Linked DNA regions of Caenorhabditis elegans. The protein of the gene in region 2 purifies or fractionates together with the protein of the main gene of each other region. This does not show direct contact. Each region holds a gene or a part of one and is shown on either strand. Other genes may lie near its edges.

Region 1 (7,976 bases), on a different chromosome or scaffold from region 2:
CGATCCTCGTCGTCAATTGAAAGATGATCATGACGGTCAGAATCGTTTCATGTATGCTACAAAATTGGGTGATATTGCTGCAATTAAACGATTCCTTTTGATGGGACATGATATTCATTGCAAAGATTATGATGATCGAACAGTTTTACACGTGGCTGCTGCTGAAGGAGACGTTGTCACATTGGAATACGTATTGAGTAAATGGCAAGAGGATCCGAATCCATGTGATAGATATGATAGAACTCCATTGGATGATGCTAAACATTTTAATCATACTGCTTGTGTTAAGCTGCTAGAAGAGGCAATTACGGTTTACAATCTTAAAGGACAAGATGATTAGGAATAGATGTTCTAGAAATTGATTTAAATTAATAAATCATTCCATTTTTTGTCATTTGTTAATTTACAGTCAAATTGTTGGAAGAAAAATTGAAAGATCAATTAAAAAAATAAAACTAAATAGAGCTTTATATTATTCAAGAGATCGAATGAAAATTGCTCGGTAAATAGAACACGATGAATGATATTAAAATAACAAAAAAGATTAAGAAAAATTGAATTCTCGTACAAGTTGGAAATCCTTGAGATGATCATTGAGCTTCTGGTGCAACTCCCTTCGTTGGTGGTTCTTGTTGAATATGGCTGAAAATGAAAGCATTATTATGATAATAGAGAGTTTATCCGTATTTTTTGAGCTTCGAAAGTGTTAAACAGAAAAGGAATCACAATCCAGAGCACACTTACAATCTCTTCATCTCGAGTTGCTTATTGTGTTGTCGTGAGTCCAAATCAAGAACAATCTTCTTTTCGATATTTTCTTCAGTATCGGAGAGCGCATTCAACATGATTCTCTGTAAATTCGTACAATTTTTAAATAATCAAGTGACCAAAATCTTACAAAGTCATCCTCGATTGCTTCTGAAATATAAAACAGATCCTGTTCCACATCCGACCATTTTGCTTTTGTCATCGAGGAATAGTCTGATTCTTGAACAAATGTCAACGCCTTGACACTGAGTTGCGGCAAATAGGTTCCTCTGTAGAAATGTTGTTTTATAAGAAACGACTTTTAAATAAATTAAATTTCAATTACCTTATTTTGTAAGCTCTTCCAACATCCAACTTGCAATGGAAGCATTTGATATCACTGAGTGGTTGATTGTCCTCACTCAAGTACTTACTCACCTTTCGCTTCTGAAAAAATTCAATTTTTCACAATCACAAATTGCGTTTCTATGATAAACAGAAGTCGGCTTAGCTGAAAAAAACATTTACTTGAAACATCTGGAAATTGCACAAAAATAGCCTGAAAGTCAATTGTCGGAAAGCAAAGTTCGGAAATTCAGCAATTTGATAATCGGCAATTCGACACTTCCAGGTAATTTTTAAGCACTTTATAAATGTTTCAACCTGAATAAGTTAATTTCAGATGAATAAAGCGATTTTTTTACTTTAAAACGATTTTTTAGTGACAGAAATTTTTTTAATTGTCTTTTTTTTTGAGAAATTTTAGGTTTCGGTTTTTTGGGAAAATGGTTTTACAGCCCTGGTCTACGAGTATAATCTTACAAAATTCATTAAAATTATATTTTCGACAAGCCGGCTCCGGTTTTTGAGCATTCATCAAACGTACCGATTCAACATGCAAAAATCTCCATACACTTGGATCGAACACCATGTAATTCGAGAACACTTTTTTGATATAAATACTCTTGCAGAACTCTTTTGAACAATTGCTGCACATCAATTTATAAATCTTATTCTCATGTCGTAATCTCAAATTGAGTTGCTCTTCCAGATTTCGTTTCCTTTCAGCCGCATTTAGTTCAGCGACTCGTTTCACTTCTGCAGCCAATTGTTTCTCGCCATTCTCTGTGATCTTCTTCACACAAAGTCTCATATACTTTTCAGAGATTAACGCGTTAGTCTCGGTTTCATTGATACTACTCTTCACTGATAAAAGCACAGAACGAGAGTTTTTGGCACGTGCACGACCTCTTTGTTGAACAAGTTGAATGGCTGATCCTGATGAACAGTTGTACTTGATAATAAGATTACATGCAGTAACATCGAGACCTTCTTCAACAACTGACGTTGCCACAATTACTTTAAGTCTTCCATTGTTGAATTTATCAAGTGTCAATTGTTGTTCTTGTGAAGTCTGCTGTACAGCGCCCTGTTTGTTTGTTCCGAGAACATATCCAACCATTTGTTCACCATAATTACCAAATTGATCTAAAACTTTAGATTCGTTCAAGAAATCACTGACACGTTGAGCGGTGCTTCTTTGTGTTACGAAAATAATAACTCGAGATTCAGGAGCCACGTGGAACTGATTGGTGAGTGTATTCTTGAGACGTAGAACAATTTCTGGTTCAACGGATTGAATTGTTTGTTTCAAAGTATCATGGTCTTTGATGAAGGTGCTGTATTCGACTGTCTCTGAATGACTTTCATTCAATTTCCCAATAGCTTTTTCCATGTATTTGAATGCAACCATCGCAGGCATCAGATCAACGATTCCGCGAGCTTCGAGATATACCTAAATCATTTCATTTACAAGAATCTTTGAAAATGAATCAAACCTTCATGTATTTCGCCCAAGTTTGAGAATTCCATTTCTCAGGAACATTCAATTTGTTCAACTCTTGAATAATACCTTGAAGTAATGAATCGTAGTACTCATAATTCTTCGGTTGATTCTTTTTAAACGTGTTAATCATATTCGGTGGGATAGTGTTGTTGCGGCCAGTTGATTTAGACATGCTTGCTAATTCTTCGAGAAATTTGCCATGGGCGTGGTTAAGGTATCGTTCGATGTAATCTCGAAGGATATTTTCTTTGGCAGGCAAGCATAGTTCGACAGCTGAGAAGAATTTTTTTGAAATAATTCTCTCATGAAATTTCATATTCCGAAGAGAAAACAAGTAATTGGTTATTTTTGGAATAGAGTAAATGAGGAATTTACTTTGAAATTGCCGGATTAGCTTGAAGTTAAACAATACCATGAGAAATAAGGGAAAACAAAGGAAATTTCAATACCGTGGTTTTGATTCTAAAGTGGGTTTTCAGCTTCCGAAGGTTTTTTTTTTCAATTCCTGTTTACAACACTTCATTTAGAAACCATTTTTCATTTTACAAGAACAATTTACAATTTTCAAATTTTTTTGAACTGTGTAAACTTGAAAATAAATATTTTTATAATTTGATACACCTAGAAATTTATCTTATTTGTATTTTAAAATTTATTTATGGTTTTTAAGAAAAAAAAAACTAAATTTCCAACTTGAGAACAAACTTACAATCATCTGGTTTTCCAACATGCTCATTGAGCTCATCTATGCTCGATTGGCGAGTGATTGTACTCAAATGTGGAGCGTTGATCAATGCGAGCATATTATAAATATCATTAAGCATCTGATTCTCGTCTTTTTGTCCATCAACTTTGACACTCAATGAAGCTGTCAGACCAATGATTTGTGGTTTTTCATACTTCCATTCTTGAACCATTTGATTAATCAACACATATGGATGATTTTTTGCAGCTTTATGTACTTCATCGAAGATCATCATTGAGAAATCACTCACATACAAACGCTCATTTTGACGTACCGATTGAAGCATGTTGCTGAAATAATTAGTTCGGGTATTATAAAAACCAGAGCTCGATCCGAAAAAATTAAACATTTTATATATCTTGATTAAAATTGCACTCTTTTTATAATTTATAATTTTTTTTGAAAAAAAAAAGTAAAATAAAAAATTAATGAGTTATATCAGAAATTTTCGATTCAGAATTTAATGAACCTGATTCCATTAACTCACATCAGAATTTGAGGAGTCATAACTGATACATGAGTAGCAATTACTTCATCACGACGTCCTGTTCCACTGACACTGCTCTCGGATCCATGAAAACCATTAACTTCGTACATTCCGTTACAATACTTCAGGAATCTGTCTTTTTGTTGACCGACAAGCGGGATTTTCGGCACAAGGAGCACAACCTGGAAAATAAAATTTTATTGCTTCTATATCAAGGGGAAATAATATTAGAACTTGACGAGAAAATTAAAAAAAAAACATACTCTGGAAGGCTTTCCTTGGGATGTTCGTTCTTCAATATGTTTGAGAGCCGCATAAATTGCCACTTCTGTTTTACCAGAACCAGTCGGAGCAACAATAACACAATTCTTTCCTTCGAGAGCCGGTTGGACAAGTTCTTCTTGATAAGTACGCAATACAAGTTCAGTAACCACCGCATCTGGATCTGGAAAAAGGAAAATTTGCACTAAATGTTGGAAATATAATCTTACTGTAGCCGCTGTCTTTCGGTTGTGGACGTATTGTCGTGCAAACATCCTCGCCGACAGCTTCCTCGTTAGTCCGCTGACTTTTCAGTAGGGTAAGGCGGATACGGTCACGTTCTTTCTCTCGTTCTTCTGAAAATTGATTTAGTTAAGCCTAGATTGTAAATCGAAATTCGTAAAATACATCAAATAGCATGAGATGGCCGAATAATAAAAAGTTAGGCATTATTTAAAATTGTATTAAAATAATTTCAGTATTTTGAAATCTGAAGTACAAAATGTTTGCCGCTATTTAATTTCCAAACAAAAAAAAACTTACCAAGCTCTTCTGGCCAGTTCTTATCCAAAAAGTAGAGAGCCGCTCGATTAGCTGGATCATTCTTCATTGCATCAATAAATCCGTAATACCACTCTTCGTGTTCATTTTTCTCTTTTTTGTCATTCGATTTGAATCCGATGATTGCGAGAAACATGGTGAGAGTCTTATGAAGACTCCATTTCTTCACAGCATATTTTTTCTCTTCTCCATTCTCGATTTTCAGCTCGAACGCTGGTCCTTCGGTTAGCAAATCTTCGACCAAATCAGTTGATAGTTGATGATTACCTTTGTTAAATACTTCAAAAGCGAGAATTGTAGTTTCACTAACACAACGTGGATTCGATTTCAGATGCTTCATAATAATCATTCCACGTGCAGCTCCAGCCACTCTATCAAGCTTCTGATATCCAAATGGATTATTGGTAACTTCCTCTTCATCGTAGAATTTATTTTTGAAAGTCTCAGCAGTTAACCAGCCATCAGGAAGATCTTCCCAGTGTGAGTATCCATAAAGTTCTTTATCGTCTGAATTTTACAGTTCAAAACGTTTGAAATTTCACGATTACTTACAGTTAAACATCACTTCGTCAGCAATTCTGAGTCCCTTCTCATCGAACAAAACAGTGTTCAAAAAACATTCCGAGAATCTTCTCTGAAATAAAAATTATTTTATTAAATGTTTTTCAAAAGTGTTTTTACCCTTTGAACTTTCTGCTGATGTGCGTGACGCAATGTAACGTATGTTTCTGCCTGTTTTCTGATTTTAACGTCGAGACTGAAAAATTGGTATTTAAAAAAAATATGGCACGAAAATTCCAGACACCATAATACTTTTTTTTGACCTTTTAAGCTTCTGTGACTCGAAAACTCACGATATTTAAACTTTTTATAAAAATTTAAGTCATTAAAACAATTTTATGTTTTCAAAACTCCGTTTCGACATCCTTGCCGTCACAGATATAGATAACACCGAAGAAATTGTTTTCGTTGGAACGTTTTTCTAATACATGATTTCTCTGTCGTCTTACTCGGCATTTCTGATTTTAATCATGTCCGGGTCATGAGAAACTGGAGTTGGCTCGTCAATGATCATTCTGGCAATTTCTTCCAATTTTCCTGGCGGGAACAGCGATTCAAATAGTTTGAAATATCCGATATCGTTGTTTCGTGTACTCTCCACGCATACATCAAGGAATTTCCATCTAAAATAATATTTAATTATTTGATCGAGTGCAAGGGGGGAAATGTATAATTTTCTTACTTGAGAAGACGAAAATACGCTGGAAAATATGGAGACTCAAACGGAAGGCGAAGCTTCGATTTGTCGTAATCTTCTAAACGTATTGCAGTTGGTTGCATTATCGAAAATATCTGTAGGAAATTATTAAATTAAATTTTGCCGACAAAACGACAAAAAGACATGTTGTTCAAACTGGCGCACAAAATATAAACAAGTGTGGCAGAGGTTTTCACATTAATGATTTTCTCTTCCTCTTGCCAATGATAAAAAGTTAAGAGGGAAATACATGAATGAACAGAAAACCATTATTAGTGTTAAAGAAGGGCAAGTAGTGTCAGGAAGGGAAGTTTTGGTTTCAGTATTCAATATTTAACGATGAGCAACGGCGGAATCAATAAAATTAGTATTTAAATTCTACAACATAAATAAATGTTTTGGCTCTTCAACCTTGTGAGAAAATAAAATCATAATATTTAAAACAAGAATAAAACTTTCATTAAAACTGCAAATTCACGGGAACCGGTGATGGAAATACGAGCAGCTGCCAACAGAAAATGAAGAAAAGAAAAGGAAATTTGAAAGATAGAACAGAAAATAAAATTCTTTCGGCAGGTTGTTGGGATGAATTTCAGCTGATGAATGGCAAATTAATACGAATAACTGGATGAAAAGAAAACATCGAAAATAACATTTTACAACGTTAAAACGAATCGTTGATGCACTTTTAAGCGTCTGGCTTTAGAAGTTCAGCGGAGTTCCTGGCAGCTTCAGCAGCACGGTCGGCGCGTTCTGAAAGAAAATAAGAGAAATGCTTTTTTTCGATATTTAATAAATTATCCATATGAAAAATTGTTAAATTCTTTCTTTACTCAAAAATCGAGTTTTAAGCGGTTTTTTGTAGGATTAATTTTCTAGCCATGAATAAAATACCTTTTTTCACAAAACGCTGCCTTTCGATCTCAATGCGCCATTCGAGAGGAAGTCGAAACCATTCTTCCACAGGATGTTGAGCAGTGAATGCTTCATCGGAGAGAGGATCATCTGGATCCACGTCCACATAGATACTTTTCGACGTCTCTTTCATATTGTCCAATGTAGAGTTTGAACAACTTAGTGATGGATTTTTAGAAATATTTTTATTTTCTGAAATTGCGAAGGTTGTTAAACTTGTCAACTTTTCTTGTAAAACGAACTTTTAGAGGCTAAGTATTTTTGGAGGAACTCTTTTGGCAACCGTTGGAAAATGTAATTCGGGTAGAACTTGGCGAAATTTCCTGTGTTCTCGTACTCCTTCAAGCACTCCTCTACGGTCATTGTTGGCTGAGAATAATGCTGAGAATGATTCTTTCGGGACCCACTTGATTTATTTTTTTTGTTGCCCATCTGGAAGATGAATATCAGCATAAAATAGGACACGGGTAGGGCTGCAAAACCTCGGTAAAGTTAACGTGTTAAACAATAAAAAGTAATACTAATATGAAAAGTGTCATAACATGTAGTGCATATTTCTGGTTAAAACCAATATTGGATAACAATAAAAACCTATAGAACAAAACTTTAAAGCGTTTATTAGAAAACACGAACAACGATACTATAGCTCTATAGAGAAAATTTTAAAGGGAAATGAAATAATCTTAACAAAAAAAAAAAGAAAAAAAGTTCGTCACTTGAGCATTTTCAAAATTTTTGAATAAAACTGTTGAACTCATCACGATGATGAATGCATTTGTGATATGTTACAAGTATTGCACGAAGATTACATCTGGAAAATAAACTCAGTTATTGGAATTATTTAACGGCATTTCTAAAAAAATAAATTACCTTGTTCGAGTAGCCGTGTTTTTCGCGTAGCCGATAAATTTCATTGATTACTGGCTCATTCAAAAGAGCCCACTTATCGTCCGGGTAGAAGCCGTACAAACAGTTCTTGCCACATTGTGCTAAGGGTTTCAGTGGGATTTTCTCGTTATCGCATGATACTCCGTCAATTGACTCGTCCTCTTCTTTCCGTTCAACTTTCACATTGTCGGGGTCTTCAGCCTCCACCGGCTCATCGTTGATCACAGAATCGGAACAATTACCAGCAGTTTCTGAATCCATATGATCT
Region 2 (7,684 bases):
AACCGATTTTAATAAAATATAAGAAACCCTCTTAAAAAGTCTACAAGAAGGTTTTTCCTTGCGCTTGGAGCGCAAAAGAAAAGAAAAAGGGTTATTTAGACTTAGGAACAAACCCAATTTGAATAAATCATAGGAAATCCCCAATCCGACAAGCCTAAGGGCCCGAATCCTAGTATGTTTTTCGGGCCCTTAGGCTTGTCGGATTGGGGGGATTTCCTATGATTTATTCAAATTGGGTTTGTTCCTAACAAGGGAAGTATTTCAACTTAATCCCGGTTTGGTTGTCGAGTTGGTTGTCGAGAGCTCACGCTCGTCACTGACACCAAGCCTAAGCCCTAAGCCTGACTCAGCCTAAGCCCAAGCCTAAACCTACGCCTGGTCAAAATTTTCAAAATTTTCACTAAAAGTATTTATTTTCTACCAAAAAATCGATAATTTCCAGATCCCAACATTCGTAATCCAGCCACAACAATCCGATGACCCACTTTCGGAAGATATGAAAACTACGCTAATCGCTGGAAAATACACGTGTCTGCTTGTTCCATTGGAATAAATATTGATTTATTGATTTTTATCGTAAAAAATCGATAATTTAACACGTTCACGTAAAACAAACAGATCGTTAAAACGAGGAGGAGATCGATATTATAAAATACATGACAAAAAACAGGAAAAAATTATGTTATCGATTTTGTACTCCTCTCGGGCAAGTGGATTATCGATTTTTTTTTTGCAATTTTTCACGGGAGAAATGCGAAAAAATCAATAAAATCATCCGCTATCCTTATCGTCGCTAACATTTCCATCATCATCATCCTCTTTCTGGGTACGTAAATCGTCGGATCGTTCAGTGAAAAACGGCGACGGCGACGGGATTTTATCGAGCAAATTTTCGTCGTCTTCGTCGCCGGCGACCCGAATCTGCGAGAATTGCAGTTTGCCGGTTTCCAGGAATTCTGAAATGATTGGAAAATTATTGATTTTTACGATGCTCCGATATATTCCGCACATGGGAATTATCGATTTTTGACGAAAATTCGCGCGAATTAGCTATGGAGCGCATTTTCCCCTGAAAATCGATCGAATTGTTCCGCAGGAGAATTTTTGTCAATGGAGCGCATTTGGGACACGAGGCCGCCGGCGCGGGAAATTTGAAATTTTGCAAAATCGGCGAAATCCCATGAAAATTTCGAATTTTTCAGTTAAAAAACCAAAATTTCAGGTGTTCTCGGCGCGAAATTTGAATTTTTGAGTTAAATAGTGAAGTTTTGGTAAAATTCTGTGATTTCGGGTAAAATTATCAATGGAGCGCACAGGAACATGCAAAAATTGCATTTTTGTCGCTTTTCCAGAGAGAAATCCGTAAATTTCTCACCCATATCGGGTCCGACAACGATCGGCACGTCATAGGGTACAATTTCACGCCAAAAATGTGTATTCCACTCCATTTCGCTGTCGGCCATCGATAAATCGTCGTCGAGAAATCGGCCAATTTCAATGCAAGCCGGCGCGATTTTTGTGTGCTCAATGTGCATTCGGTGCAAATTTTTGAGCTTCAGGATGCCACGTGTTCCCAGATCCACGTAGCGAAGAGCCACGTTGGCGTTCGGCAAAAAATCGATAATCTCGCAACGGAGCCATTGAGCCGACGATTTTTGGCGATTTTTGATGGTTGCCATCACGTAGGTTCGGCCGGTTTGGAGGGCGAATTTTCTGGAAAAAATTTAAATAGAAAAATCGGTTTTTCGCTGGTGAAAATGCGCTCTATTGAGAAAAACTTCAAAAAATCGATTTTTGGCGGAAAATTCAATTTTTTCGCTGTTGAAAATGCGCTCTATTGAGAAAAACTTCAAAAAATCGATTTTTGGCGGAAAATTCAATTTTTTCGCTGTTGAAAATGCGCTCTATTGAGAAAAACTTCAAAAAATCGATTTTTGGCGAAAAATTCAAATTTTTCGCTGGTGAAAATGCGCTCTATTGAGAAAAACTTCAAAACATCGATTTTTTGCGGAAAATTCAAATTTTTCGCTGGTGTAATCGCGCTCTGTTGAGAAAAACTTCAAAAAATCGATTTTTGGCGAAAAATTCAATTTTTTCGCTGTTGAAAATGCGCTCTATTGAGAAAAACTTCAAAAAATCGATTTTTGGCGAAAAATTCAAATTTTTCGCTGGTGAAAATGCGCTCTATTGAGAAAAACTTCAAAACATCGATTTTTTGCGGAAAATTCAAATTTTTCGCTGGTGTAATCGCGCTCTGTTGAGAAAAACTTCAAAAAATCGATTTTTGGCGAAAAATTCAATTTTTTCGCTGTTGAAAATGCGCTCTATTGAGAAAAACTTCAAAAAATCGATTTTTGGCGAAAAATTCAAATTTTTCGCTGGTGAAAATGCGCTCTATTGAGAAAAACTTCAAAACATCGATTTTTTGCGGAAAATTCAAATTTTTCGCTGTTGAAAATGCGCTCTATTGAGAAAAAAGCAAAAACATCGATTTTTAGCGGAAAATTCAATTTTTCACTGTTGAAAGTGCGCTCTATTGAGAAAAACTTTAAAAAATCGATTTTTGGCGAAAATTCAAATTTTTCGCTGTAGAAAATGCGCTCTATTGAGAAAAACTTTAAAAAATCGATTTTTGGTAGAAAATTCAATTTTTTCGCTGTTGAAAATGCGCTCTATTGGGAAAAAAGCAAAAACATCGATTTTTGACGAAAAATCAAATTTTTCGCTGTAGAAAATGCGCTCTATTGAGAACAACTTTAAAAAATCGATTTTTGGTGGAAAATTCAATTTTTTCGCTGTTGAAAGTGCGCTCTATTGAGAAAAACTTTAAAAAATCGATTTTTGGTGGAAAATTCAATTTTTTCGCTGTTGAAAGTGCGCTCTATTGAGAAAAACTTTTAAAAATCGATTTTTGGTGGAAAATTCAAATTTCTCGCTGTTGAAAGTGCGCTCTATTGAGAAAAACTTCAAAACATCGATTTTTGGCGGAAAATTCAATCTTTCGCCGTTAAAAATGCGCTCCATCGATAAAACAGCGCCAAGTTCAAATTTTCGGCGAACTTATCGATTTTTTAGCATAATTTTTCAGGTTTTAATCGATTTCCGCATATTTTTCACATTTTTCACTGAAAATTCGAAATTTTCTAACATTTCTTCCATCTCTAGCGGCCGCTGATTCTTGAGGTTCGAGTAGAAATCGTCGATTTTTTGCTGATTTTCCGAGTTTTTTACGAGCTGCTCGAAAATCCAATGTTCATTATCTGAAAAAATTCGAATTGTGCTCAGTACGATGCTCCGCTATCCCTTTTCTCATTGGAGCGCGCTTGCACAACATGCGGTCGGCGGGAAATTTCAAATTTCTGGGTCAATTTTCGCCATTTTACTCAATTTTTCGCTTTATTTCGCGAGTTTAAGCAGAATTTCGAGCAAAATTGTTCAATTTCCACCGTACCAGACATCTTTTCCGGTGCCAAAATCGGTGTAACGTGCATTTCCCAGGGTGATACGGTGCAACTCGGCTCGAGCATCGCCCAAAAGCTTCCATCGGCTCTTCGGAATTGCTCGAGTGCCGTGTCATTCCATTCTGCCACGTGGCACTGCAGTATATCCCAGTCGGCGTCGTCTTCACGGTAATCGGCAGGCGGCTCGTGAGCCCAGTCGGCTGGGAGGTCCCGGCGGAACTCTTCGAGAAGAATCACGTCGAGGTGGTCTTGCTCTTTGTCGAGCTCCTCGAGCTTGGGATTGACTGGAAAAAAATTTTCAAAAAAAAAAAAAATGTTTTTATTTTTTTTTTTTTAACCAAAATTTTTCAAAATTAATTTTTTTCTGAAAATTCATATTTCGACTGATTGTGTCTCACTGAGAGCTTCAATTTGAATATAATCATGACCTTTTTTGCTAAATCTTTAAAAAAGTTGGGTCCCGCCACGAAAACCTCAGGGGTACTGTAGTTTTCGCGGTGGGACCCGATTTTTTGTTCAAATTCTAGCAAAATTGGTCATTATTATACTTAAATTGAAGCTAGAAATGTAGTGAATTTGATTTTTACAAAAATTTTTGAATTTTTTATTCCTTTTTTGACATTTTCTATGAAAAACTAATCCAAATTTCGATTTTTTTTTAGATAATGTTTGAGAAAAATTAGTTTTTTATGACATTTTAAACACATTCCATGTTTTAAACCAAAAAAATAGCGGAAAAACCAAAAATTTCGGGGTTTCGTGGCGAGACCCAAATTTTTCGGAAATTTTTCATTTTTTTAAAACAAAACTATGAAATTCAAATTCAGCTGTTTGAATGCTTCCATTTAAGTATAATCATGACCAGATTCCATTGATTTTGAAAATTTTCCGGGTCCCACCACGAAAAACTACAGTAACCCCGGGGATTTTCGTGGTGGGACCCAATTACTCGTAACCCATAGTCATGATTATACTTAAATCAAAGCTCTCGGCGTGCTGAATTCGAATGTTATATAAACTTTGTTCGGGTTTTTCGGGTTTTTGAAATTTTCGCGAAATTTTTTTTTTCCAAAAATTCAAAAATTATACCCATAAAATTAGTGGGAAATTGAGAGACCATAACATTTTGCATAGAAACCGCGCAAATCTCCTCGATCGCCACTTTTTTATCGATTTCTGTTCCATTTGGCAATCCGTACAGGTTCACGAGAAGAGACGGGCGGTCCGAGCGAAAATCCACGTCACACTGGTTGGCGGTAATTTGAAATTTTGCAAATTTAGAGACAATATTTCGAAATTCGGTGCACTGGGTGTCTGTCCATGAGTCCTGAAAAAATCGATAATTTTTGAAAAATCAATAATTTTCAAAAAATCGATTTTTTTTTTGTAAATTGTTTAAAAACATTTTTGGCGGGCAATTCAAATTCAGATTGCGTGTTGCAAGTGCGCTCCAATGAAAAATCTCCGTTTATTGTTGGATTTTTTCGTATTTTTCAGGTCAATTTTAGCTGAAAAATAGCATTTTTAGGTTAAAAAACCATCAAAAACCCCAATTTCCTCTCAAAAATTCAAATGTCCGGTTTTTCTCAATGGAGCGCACTTTCAATATTTCGTTTGAAAATTTGAATTTTCAGATGGAAATCTCTATTTTATAGTTTTCCAGTCAATTTTTTACGATTTTCATCAGGAAAAATGCACATTTTTGCCATGGAGCGCATTTGCAACGGCGGGAAATTTGAATTTCTCACGGGGTTCTGGTCTTCTTCCTCGAATTTTTCGCGCTCCATTGACAATCGCCTGCCGGACAACGCGTGGGAAAGCCGTGTACTCCACACGGACAAACGCATTAGTTTTATAACTAAAATCGAACCGCGACGCGACACGCAACGCGCCGTAAATCTACCCCATATATGGCCGAGCCAAAATGGCCTAGTTCGGCAATAACTCTTCCATTTCAATAATTTATGAGGTAAGCCAGCCAGAAATCCGTGGATTTTCATCAGGAAAAATGCACACATTTTTGCTCTATAGAGCGCATTTACAACATGCGATCGGCGGGAAATTTGAATTTCTGGGTTAAAAAGTGCTAAAAATCAGACCGAAAGGTGCACCAAACGTCCCAAAGTGCAATGCATCGCCTGCCATGGGTGAAATTTGAGATTTTCATCAATTTGAAACAGACATTTCCACGAAACATTAGCAGTGACCGCAGAATCGATGAAAAAAATCCGGGCGGCCTCGATAAGCTCCAAATTTTTCAAAATTAAACATCGAGCGAATACACGTGGCCGGAGCGGAGCCATCGCCATGTTTCCCGCCGAAAAATCGATAATTCGAGTTGTTAGGCGGTACGGTTCGCGAATCAATAATTGATCATCGGTGACATGATCGACGGGACGGCAGAAAAATGAAGATGGTGATTCGATTCGGAGCAGCTCGACGACTGCCGAGCTTTTTAGAGCTATTCGTCGAATCTCTGGATCTGGAAATTCCGGGTGATACGTTTCGTAGGGCTCCTCCGAGAGCATCTGAAAATCCGATTTTTTGATGGAAAATTTCTTGCATGGGAAATTTGAATTTTTCTTCTTTTTTTAAACACTTTGTTACTTAAAAATCACTAAAAATCAATTAAAATTCAAGTTTCTCGCCGACCGCATGCCTCAAACGCGCTCTAATGAGAAAAACTTTGTAAATTAATTTTTTTTTCATTTTTCACAAATTTTGTAACTAGACAATCATATATTTTAACAGAATCCCGTGTTTTTCAACTAATTATCACTAGAGCGCATTTGCAGCACCTGGTCTTGAGGTGAAAATTTAATTTTTGGTGTTTTTCGCTGGCGAAAATCGATTTTAATCGTTTAATATTAATTATAATCGCTGAAAATGGTATGAAATATGGCGTTTTATCGAAAAATGCTGTTCTTAATGTTAAAAATCAGAAAATCGCGCTAAAATAATTGTTCAGTGGAGCGCAGTTGCCCCAACAGCTGTGTAGTTCTCTTGGACGAGCAGAATCATATTAAAAAAGCAGCTTGGACTGGATTATAAACCTGAAATTCTTGGGAAAAAAGAAAAAAATAAACATTTTTAGTTTTTGGGATTTATTATACAAAAAATCTGCGGGTGGGTGGTGGGGAAAAATAAATTAAACTTTCGTTTTTTATGATAAATACATGAAACTTTTTGAGAAAAAAAAGGGGGGTCCCGTTTGTAAAGATCGCTTAGTTCTTAGCGGTGGAGAGGAAGGCGACGAGTCCGGCGGATCCGATGGTGGAGATGAGCAAGTTGAAGACTGGAGCCACGTTGGCGAGCAAGAAGAACGCCGAGACGAGCATGATGGTCAAGTAGAGCGAGTTTGTGTAGAAGACCGACAAGTAGGTGGATTCGGTGTCGGCGACCTCGTTTTTGCGGAAAAGCGCGCGCTCCTCCTTCTCCTTAACAGTCATTTTCTTGTCAGCAGCATATTGTCCGCTGATCTCGCGTTCCACAGCTGATCCGCGCTTCATCACGATTCTGAAAATTTTGGGGGTTTTTATTGGGGTGAAAAATCGATTTCCGATTTTTAAAAATTCAAAAAAACCCTCACTGATGCTTGAGAAGGCACTTCTGGTTTTTGCAGGCCAGGGACAGGAGGTAGGCAGTGCCGACGGCAGAGAGTCCCCACACGACAAGCGAGTCTTGGATCTGAAAATTTAATGCGTTTCACAAGGTTTTCCTAGCCGATAGAATTTCCGGCTAACCTCCATCTGGTGAACTCCGTAGAAGAGGTAGAGCGGGGCGATGGAGATGATCAACGCGTTGAGGTAGAAGAAGAGGTTTCCCTTGGTGGAGCTGGTCGCCGAGTAGCTCGAGAGCAGAAGTTCCTCTTCCTTGGTGAGCTTGCCCATGGTTTTTCGATTTTCTGAAAGGAAAATGCTTTAAAATGCATTTAAATGTTTAGTGGGAAGTAAAACGGTATTTTCGGGGGTATTTTTCCACTATTTTAGGAAGAAAATGCCTAATTATCAATGAAAATTCAAACAAAATTAATATTTATTAACATTTCCGCCGAAAAAATCGTCAAAAATAAATATAAATTGAGACGAAAACCCCGCCACTCTCCAAAAACTACAACGTGTCTCCGTCGAGTCTCTCTTCGTGTGCATCTGTGCGTCACGGTGTTTGCGTACCGACCTGCACGCCGGGCGTATGTGCCCCCTTCATCATACGCCGCCACACAT
Region 3 (6,482 bases), on a different chromosome or scaffold from region 2:
TAAAAATTTGAATTTTTGAGTGTTTCAAGTGCGCTCTGATGCGAATTTTAGAGGGAAATTTGAATTTTTTGGCAATTTTGAATTTTTGAGTGTTTCAAGTGCGCTCTAATGCGAATTTTGGCGGTAAATTCGAATTTTTCCTAAAAATTGAATTTGTCGGTGTTGCAAATCAGCTCTAATGCGAATTTTAGCGAGAAATTCGAATTTTCTAGTGTCTAAAATGCGCTACAATACAAATTTTAACGGAAAATTCAAAATTTTTCTAAAGTTTTGAAATTTCAAGTGTTTCAAGTGCGCTCTAATGCGAATTTTGGTGAAAAATTCAAATTTTCACAAAATTTCGAATTTTCAAGTGTTTCAAGTGCGCTCCAATGCAAATTTCAAATAATAATTTAAATTTTCACAGAATTCTTGAATTTTCTAGTGTCTAAAGTGCGCTCTAATGCAAATTTTAGGCGGAAGTTTATATTTTAACAAAAGTTTGAATTTCCGAGTGATTCAAGTGCGCTCTAATGCTAATTTCAGCGGGAAATTCGATTTTTTCGTAAAAATTGAACTTTTCGGTGCTGCAAATGTGCTCTAGTGTGAATTGTAGCGGAAAACTGAGATTTTCGGTTCAAAATTCAACTTTTCATAAAATTTTGAAATATTGAATGTTCCAAGTGCGCTCCAATGCGAATTTTGGTGGAAAAATCAAATTTTTACAAAATTTTGAATTTCTCCGTGTTTCAAGGGCGCTCCAATGCAAATATCGGCGAAAAAGTCAAATTTTTACGGAATTTTGAATTTCGGCTGTTCCAAATGCGCTCTAATGCAAATTTCAGCGAAAAATTCAAATTTTCCGGTTAAAAACCGTACGTGGCGGTCTCTGCATCATCATATTCTGCATCATTTGTTGCTGCTGGAGCTGAGCTGCAGCAGCGGCTCTTTTCTGCATTTCCGTCTGCTCCATTCCTCTCAAATGATGTGCCATGTAGGCTTCTTGTGATTGTGCGTAGGCGGCCGCCGCCGCTTCTGCCTCCTTGTCAACTGCCGCCGCTTTTCGGTGCTTTTGTTGCTGAAAATTGAACATTTTAAAGTAAATTCAGCATTTTTGGGTCAAAAATTGTCTTTTTTCCAGATTTTTCTATAATTTTTAGGTTTTTTTTACGAACCTGTGACGTTCTCGCCTCCACTTCTTTCTCCCACTGCTCGAATTGCTGTACATACGAATTATAAGCCTCCGTGCCAATGGAACCCCTGAAAATCATCCAAATTTGCAATTTTTCCCCGAAACTCGAGTTTCCCACTTATTATTCTCCTTCCACTGCTCGAATTGAGCTCGATAGTCTGCGTATTGCTTCTGCAACTCTTCCTCTGATACCTGGAAATAGAGAAAAATCGATTTTCTGCGAAAAATCCTTGAAAAACGATAAAAACTCACTTTTTTCGAGGCTCCCGACATAATTATCTGAAATTTAAATAACTTTCTATAGATTTTATGAGAAAAAATGGAGAAAATCGACGGAAAACTGGCGAAAATCGATAAAAAACAATTTTTTTCAAAAAAATAAATGGTGGCCGAGGAGGGGTTTTCTAGGCCATTTTGACTTTAGACTCGGCCACCACGATTTTTTGAATTAATTTCGCTGATTTTTTCGCTATTTTTATTCATTTTCTCCCGTTTTTTCTGATTTTTTCTGTTAAAATCAATAAAAATTCCTAAAAATCCGATTTTTCTTCAGGTATGCAACCCGTTCTTGTAAATAGTCGACCATTACGGGTGAAATCGCACGAATCCGAGTCAAAACTCAATTTAATCGAGCAAGAAGACCAGTTTGAAGGCGCAAATTGTGAGTTTTTAGTGCCAAATTTGATTTTAAAGCTTGTAAATTCAGATTCAAGCTCGTCTGGTGTCATAATATGCTATTCGAATGGTACCGGAGAGGTTATTACGCAGGAGGCGTTTGATGTAAGGGAATTTCCAGGGAAAATCGATATTTGGAGTCCTAAAATATGCAAATTATTGATAAAAATCGCAAAAATTGCCTTAAAAACACGACGAAAAAACAGTTAAAAATCGAAAAAAAAACCATGATTTTCCAATTTTTTTTTTGCAAAAAATTTAAAAACTCGCAATTTTCAGGATTCCGGCATTCATTTTATCTTCTCAAAAGCCACGTGTATACAATATCCGTCAAATTTCGACCCAATCGGTGTGGGATCCGTCGTTCAGATCTTCTGGAGCCGGAGCTTCGAACGGGTGGTCCGCGGGAATCATATTATAGTGCAAATCGAGAAAATGGAGGTTTATAAGTGTAAGTTTGACCCGGAAATTCGAATTTCCCGCCAAAATTCACCCTGAAACACTTGCAAATTCGAAAATTCGGTGAAAATTCAAGTTTATAACCTAAAAATTTGAATTTCCCGCCGACCGGATGCTGCAAGCTCGCTCCACCGAACAAATCATGAGAAATTCAAATTTTCAGGTTGTGCAATGCTCCGCGAGCAGGTTTTCGTCACATTCAACTCCCCGTCGACTGCTGGCGTCGCAATTGGAGTCACCGAACGAAATATTACTGTAGCTTTCCATCCGAACTGCTCGCCTGTTATTCGCTACGAGACCTTAAAGGCGCATAGCATTGGACGCACCGAATTCGAGATTAAAGATGTACGGGAATTTGAATTTTCCAACGGAAAAAATGTGCTCTATTGAGAAAATTGCGAAAAAAACGGGGTTTTGCCTTTGAATTTTTAATTGAAAAAGTGAATTTTAAATAAATTATTGCCGAAAATTAGATTTTTCATTGAAAAATTTTTTTAAAAACAATTTTCTTCGAAGAAAAATTTAATTTTGGCTGAAAAACGTGCATTCTCCACTTAAAAAAACATTTCCCACCCACCGCGTGCTGCGAGTGCGCTCCAATGCAAATTTTGCATTAGCGCGCATTTGCAGCTTGCGGTCAGCGAGAAATTCGAATTTTTGGGTTGAAATTGATAGAATTTAACTCAAAAATTCAAATTTCCCGTCAGAATACTACTTTACACAGAATATCTCTACTCAAAATTCACTTTTTTCGTTCAAAATATCAGTTTTAAACCTGAAATTTCAAATTTCCCGCGGATCGCATGCTGCAGATGCGCTCCGATGCAAAATTTGCAATAGAGCGCATTTACAGCTTGCGGTCGGCGGGAAATTTGAATTTTTGGGCTAAAAAAGCGGATTTTCACCAAAAATTCAAATTTTCCAGAGACACCGAGAGAACACGAATCGAATGGTGGACGTTATCCTGGCGGCAGTACCATTCCGCGTCGAAATCCACGGAAACGTCGATAAAATCCCATTTTTCGTCATTGAAAAGTGCCGAAATTCGCCGGGCCGATCCGGCGCCGCTGTCATCACAAAAATTATGAAAAATCATTTTATGGAAGCGAATTTCCTGCAAAATTCCGAATCGATCTACTTTGATTCGACGTCTTGCCACTCGAATATTCTCGAAAAAGTCAGCATTGGCTCACTGATTAATGTGCTTGCCGACCCCACATTTGCCACGTCATCATACAAATGGTATGGCTATGACGTCACTCTGTGTAATGTTCGTTTTTTAGTGATTTTTTACCAATTTTTACGCAAAAAATTTGAGATTTTCGTGTTTTTTCCCGCGATTTTTACCTAAAAATTGGCACTTTAACTGAAAAAATCGAATTTTCGTGGCTTATGTGCTTCCACCTTAATTTGGGGGTCAAAAATACCGATTTTAATGGATTTTTGGTTATTTTTGAGCCAAAAATTCATTAAAAGCCGTATTTTCTACCCTTGGATTATTCGTAGAGCACATTTGCCACCGGAGATGCGGAAGCTATGCCCAAATTTTGAATTTTTCACTCAAAAACTTGCAAAAAATTTTTTTTTTCCAGAATTACCTCGCCCACGCCAGCACACAGAGAAGCTTTGTACTGGAAAATAATGAGATTCTGCAAAATTGTAAGAAGCTCGAAAAATCGCCGGAAGAAGCGGAAACCACTACGAAAAATGATTTGAGATTTGTGCCACCGCAGCCGGAAAAGGGAGAGGTTAAGAAAAAGTACGGAAATCTCGAAAATTTCAGCGAAAAATTTGAAATTCCGGCATTTTTGAGCAGGAAATCCGTTAAAAAACCCAAAAATTCAAATTTCCCGCAAATTTATCATTAGAGCGCACTTACACTCATAAAAATGCCGAAATTGTGTGGAAAATTGATTGAAATTTAAATTTCTCTCCTGCAAATGCGCCCCAATGCAAATTTCTTCAGATTTTTGCATCGGAGCGCATTTGCACCATTTTTCGAATATTTTTTTGTGGCTCCTGTGCTTCTACCCTAATCTGGGGGTAGAAAATACCGGTTTTAATGAATTTTTAGCAGAAAAATTTATTAAAATCCGTATTTTCTATCCCCGATTACTGGTAGATCACATTTGCCACCGGAGATGCGGAAGCTATGCCCAAATTTTCGTTTTCAGCTTTTTTACCCGGAAAAACGCAATTTTTTTGCAGAAAAATGACGAATTGCCTGAAATTCAACTCGAAAAGTGCTCAATTCAAGCTCCGACATCTCATCCTCGACAGATGCTTCAGGTAGATCAAAAATTCAAATTTTCAGCCAAAAAATATCGATTTTTTCCAGCGAATTACCGGAACGCGAGGCCAAATCGATTATCAACTCGTATTTTATCGATCGACTTGCCGAGGGCATAAAAATCGAGAAAATCGACAAAAATTGGAGGACATTTGGTGAAATTTTGCCGAAAACTCCAAAAAAGTACAGCGAATCGCTGAAAAAATCGATTCAAAACGTTTTGGGTAGGTTTAGATGTTGCAAATGCGCTCTAATGCGAAAATCGGCGAAAATTCGCATTGGAGCGCATTTGCAGCGTGCGATCCCCGCGAAATTTGAATTTTTCGTATAAAAATCCTGTTTTCAGAACCATTTGGCCTCAACAAACCGGAAAAAGCAGCGGAAACTCCAAAAATTGTGGAATATTTCCCGAAAAATCCGAAAAAACGTGTGGAAATCGTTGAAAAACCGACGGTCGACGAGATTCGCGAGCTCTTTGGAGCACTTATGGACGCGGAGGGTTTTGCGTTGAATCAACGTGTGAAGCCGCATTTCGTGCTACCCGATACTCGCTGGAAGCCCACAGAACGGAGATATATTGGTAAAAATTGGATTTTTCGCGAAAAAATGGCGTTTTTTGCATGTTTTAGCCGGTTAAAACATGAATTTTCGAAGGTTTTTTGCCTATTTTTCCCTAAAATGGAGCATTTTTCTGATTTGGGGGTACTGTAGCTACAGTAACCATCGGATTTTTCCCTAAAAAGTAAAAATTGTGGCTTCTGTTCTTTACGCCTAATCTGGGGTCGAAAACAAGTATTTTTTATGATTTTTTAAGCTAAAAAGCTTAAAATCCATTAAAATCCGTATTTTCCAGCCCTGGATTATCCGTAGAGCACATTTGCCACCGGAGATGCGGAAGCTATGCCCAAATTTTCATTTTTCCACCCAAAAACTTGGACTTTCAGTCAAATTTTCAATTTTAAGCCCTTTTTCCGTTCAGGAATCTACGACGACGTGCAATGGACGTTTATGAGCACATTTTGCCCGAAAATCGAGGAAAATTCCGAAAATCGACCGCTCGCCGGCGGGGTAATATGGATTTTTGTCGATTGGAGCGCATTTGCAGCTTGAAAATTGTATTTTTCAACAAAAAATTCAAATTTCCCGCCGACCGCGTGCTGCAAGTGCGCTACATTGAGAAAATAGCCAATTTTCCACCCAAAAATCGATTTTTTTTTTCAGTGGTGGTACCGGCGAACCGTCCCACGGGACCATCCCGTCGAAATTGTGCAGAAAATGGAAACTCGGCGGAATATTATCAAAGATTGTACAGAATCCCCGTTTATTGAATGAAAAACTAACTCGTGTGAATTTAAAAAAAAAATATAAATAGTTTTATCGATTTTTTTCTCATTTTTCTGATTTTTTATCGCCTTTTTCGGGTTTCCCACCCATAATTTACCTATTTTAAGAGGAAAATTTGAATTTCCCGACGATTTGGTGGTGCGATCGCGCTCCAATGATAAATTGGCATCGGGGCGCGATTGCGACATGCGGTCGACGGGAAAATGAATTTTAATCTGAAATTTCAGCTCCTCGCCACTTAAAATGTCAAAAACCGTAACAATACGGCGCCCATCGCCCACAAAAACCTCAGAAGAGCCCGCTGCTCACCAGACTCCGATTTTCACACAAACCGCCGCTGAAATGCTCGGAATTACCAGCTTGAACACAGAAGCCGCCGAATTATTGGAGTTTTTGGTAAAAAATCCGGGATTTTGTGGTTTTTTTTGCGATTTTTTAGCCAAAATTCCATTAAAACGCGGATTTTTCACCCTTACATTGCAGAAAAAAATTTTTTGAGTCAAAAATTCAAATTTCCCACCGATGAAGTGCTGTAAACGCGCT

Evidence for each region. The genes of interacting proteins can lie anywhere in the genome.
Region 1: the proteins of eri-5 (region 2) and drh-3 purify together in Caenorhabditis elegans (affinity purification with mass spectrometry, with the first as the bait; one study listed by BioGRID). This does not show direct contact.
Region 3: the proteins of eri-5 (region 2) and eri-3 purify together in Caenorhabditis elegans (affinity purification with mass spectrometry, with the first as the bait; one study listed by BioGRID). This does not show direct contact.

Annotation. Positions count from the first base shown.
Region 1 is NC_003279.8:7,818,855-7,826,830, reverse strand, and holds drh-3 (Helicase ATP-binding domain-containing protein), read right to left. Parts: upstream 6,001-7,976; 5' UTR 5,989-6,000; coding exon 5,891-5,988; intron 5,832-5,890; coding exon 5,658-5,831; intron 5,405-5,657; coding exon 5,329-5,404; intron 5,282-5,328; coding exon 5,200-5,281; intron 5,155-5,199; coding exon 4,630-5,154; intron 4,443-4,629; coding exon 4,317-4,442; intron 4,271-4,316; coding exon 4,089-4,270; intron 4,008-4,088; coding exon 3,826-4,007; intron 3,629-3,825; coding exon 3,303-3,628; intron 2,867-3,302; coding exon 2,586-2,866; intron 2,543-2,585; coding exon 1,634-2,542; intron 1,195-1,633; coding exon 1,094-1,194; intron 1,038-1,093; coding exon 899-1,037; intron 852-898; coding exon 745-851; intron 643-744; coding exon 591-642; 3' UTR 453-590; downstream 1-452. Other genes in the region: glna-3 (Putative glutaminase 3), read left to right, coding at 1-340; D2005.7 (NAM-associated domain-containing protein), read right to left, coding at 6,594-6,658, 6,800-7,012, 7,063-7,252; D2005.4 (TPR_REGION domain-containing protein), read right to left, coding at 7,626-7,631, 7,691-7,976.
Region 2 is NC_003282.8:2,389,126-2,396,809, reverse strand, and holds eri-5 (Tudor domain-containing protein), read right to left. Parts: upstream 5,990-7,684; coding exon 5,561-5,989; intron 4,789-5,560; coding exon 4,551-4,788; intron 3,746-4,550; coding exon 3,452-3,745; intron 3,261-3,451; coding exon 3,149-3,260; intron 2,337-3,148; exon of another isoform or gene 2,274-2,336; intron 2,127-2,273; exon of another isoform or gene 2,064-2,126; intron 1,714-2,063; coding exon 1,376-1,713; intron 957-1,375; coding exon 772-956; 3' UTR 554-771; downstream 1-553. Other genes in the region: Y38F2AR.10 (Major sperm protein), read left to right, coding at 443-553; trap-3 (Translocon-associated protein subunit gamma), read right to left, coding at 6,686-6,977, 7,051-7,148, 7,205-7,351.
Region 3 is NC_003280.10:1,121,810-1,128,291, forward strand, and holds eri-3 (Reverse transcriptase domain-containing protein), read left to right. Parts: upstream 1-1,724; 5' UTR 1,725-1,726; coding exon 1,727-1,832; intron 1,833-1,877; coding exon 1,878-1,951; intron 1,952-2,125; coding exon 2,126-2,297; intron 2,298-2,468; coding exon 2,469-2,650; intron 2,651-3,230; coding exon 3,231-3,575; intron 3,576-3,897; coding exon 3,898-4,064; intron 4,065-4,513; coding exon 4,514-4,594; intron 4,595-4,643; coding exon 4,644-4,819; intron 4,820-4,941; coding exon 4,942-5,175; intron 5,176-5,574; coding exon 5,575-5,663; intron 5,664-5,816; coding exon 5,817-5,927; 3' UTR 5,928-5,982; downstream 5,983-6,482. Other genes in the region: sut-1 (SUppressor of Tau pathology), read right to left, coding at 859-1,057, 1,155-1,239, 1,290-1,363, 1,424-1,444; taf-6.1 (Transcription initiation factor TFIID subunit 6), read left to right, coding at 6,183-6,335.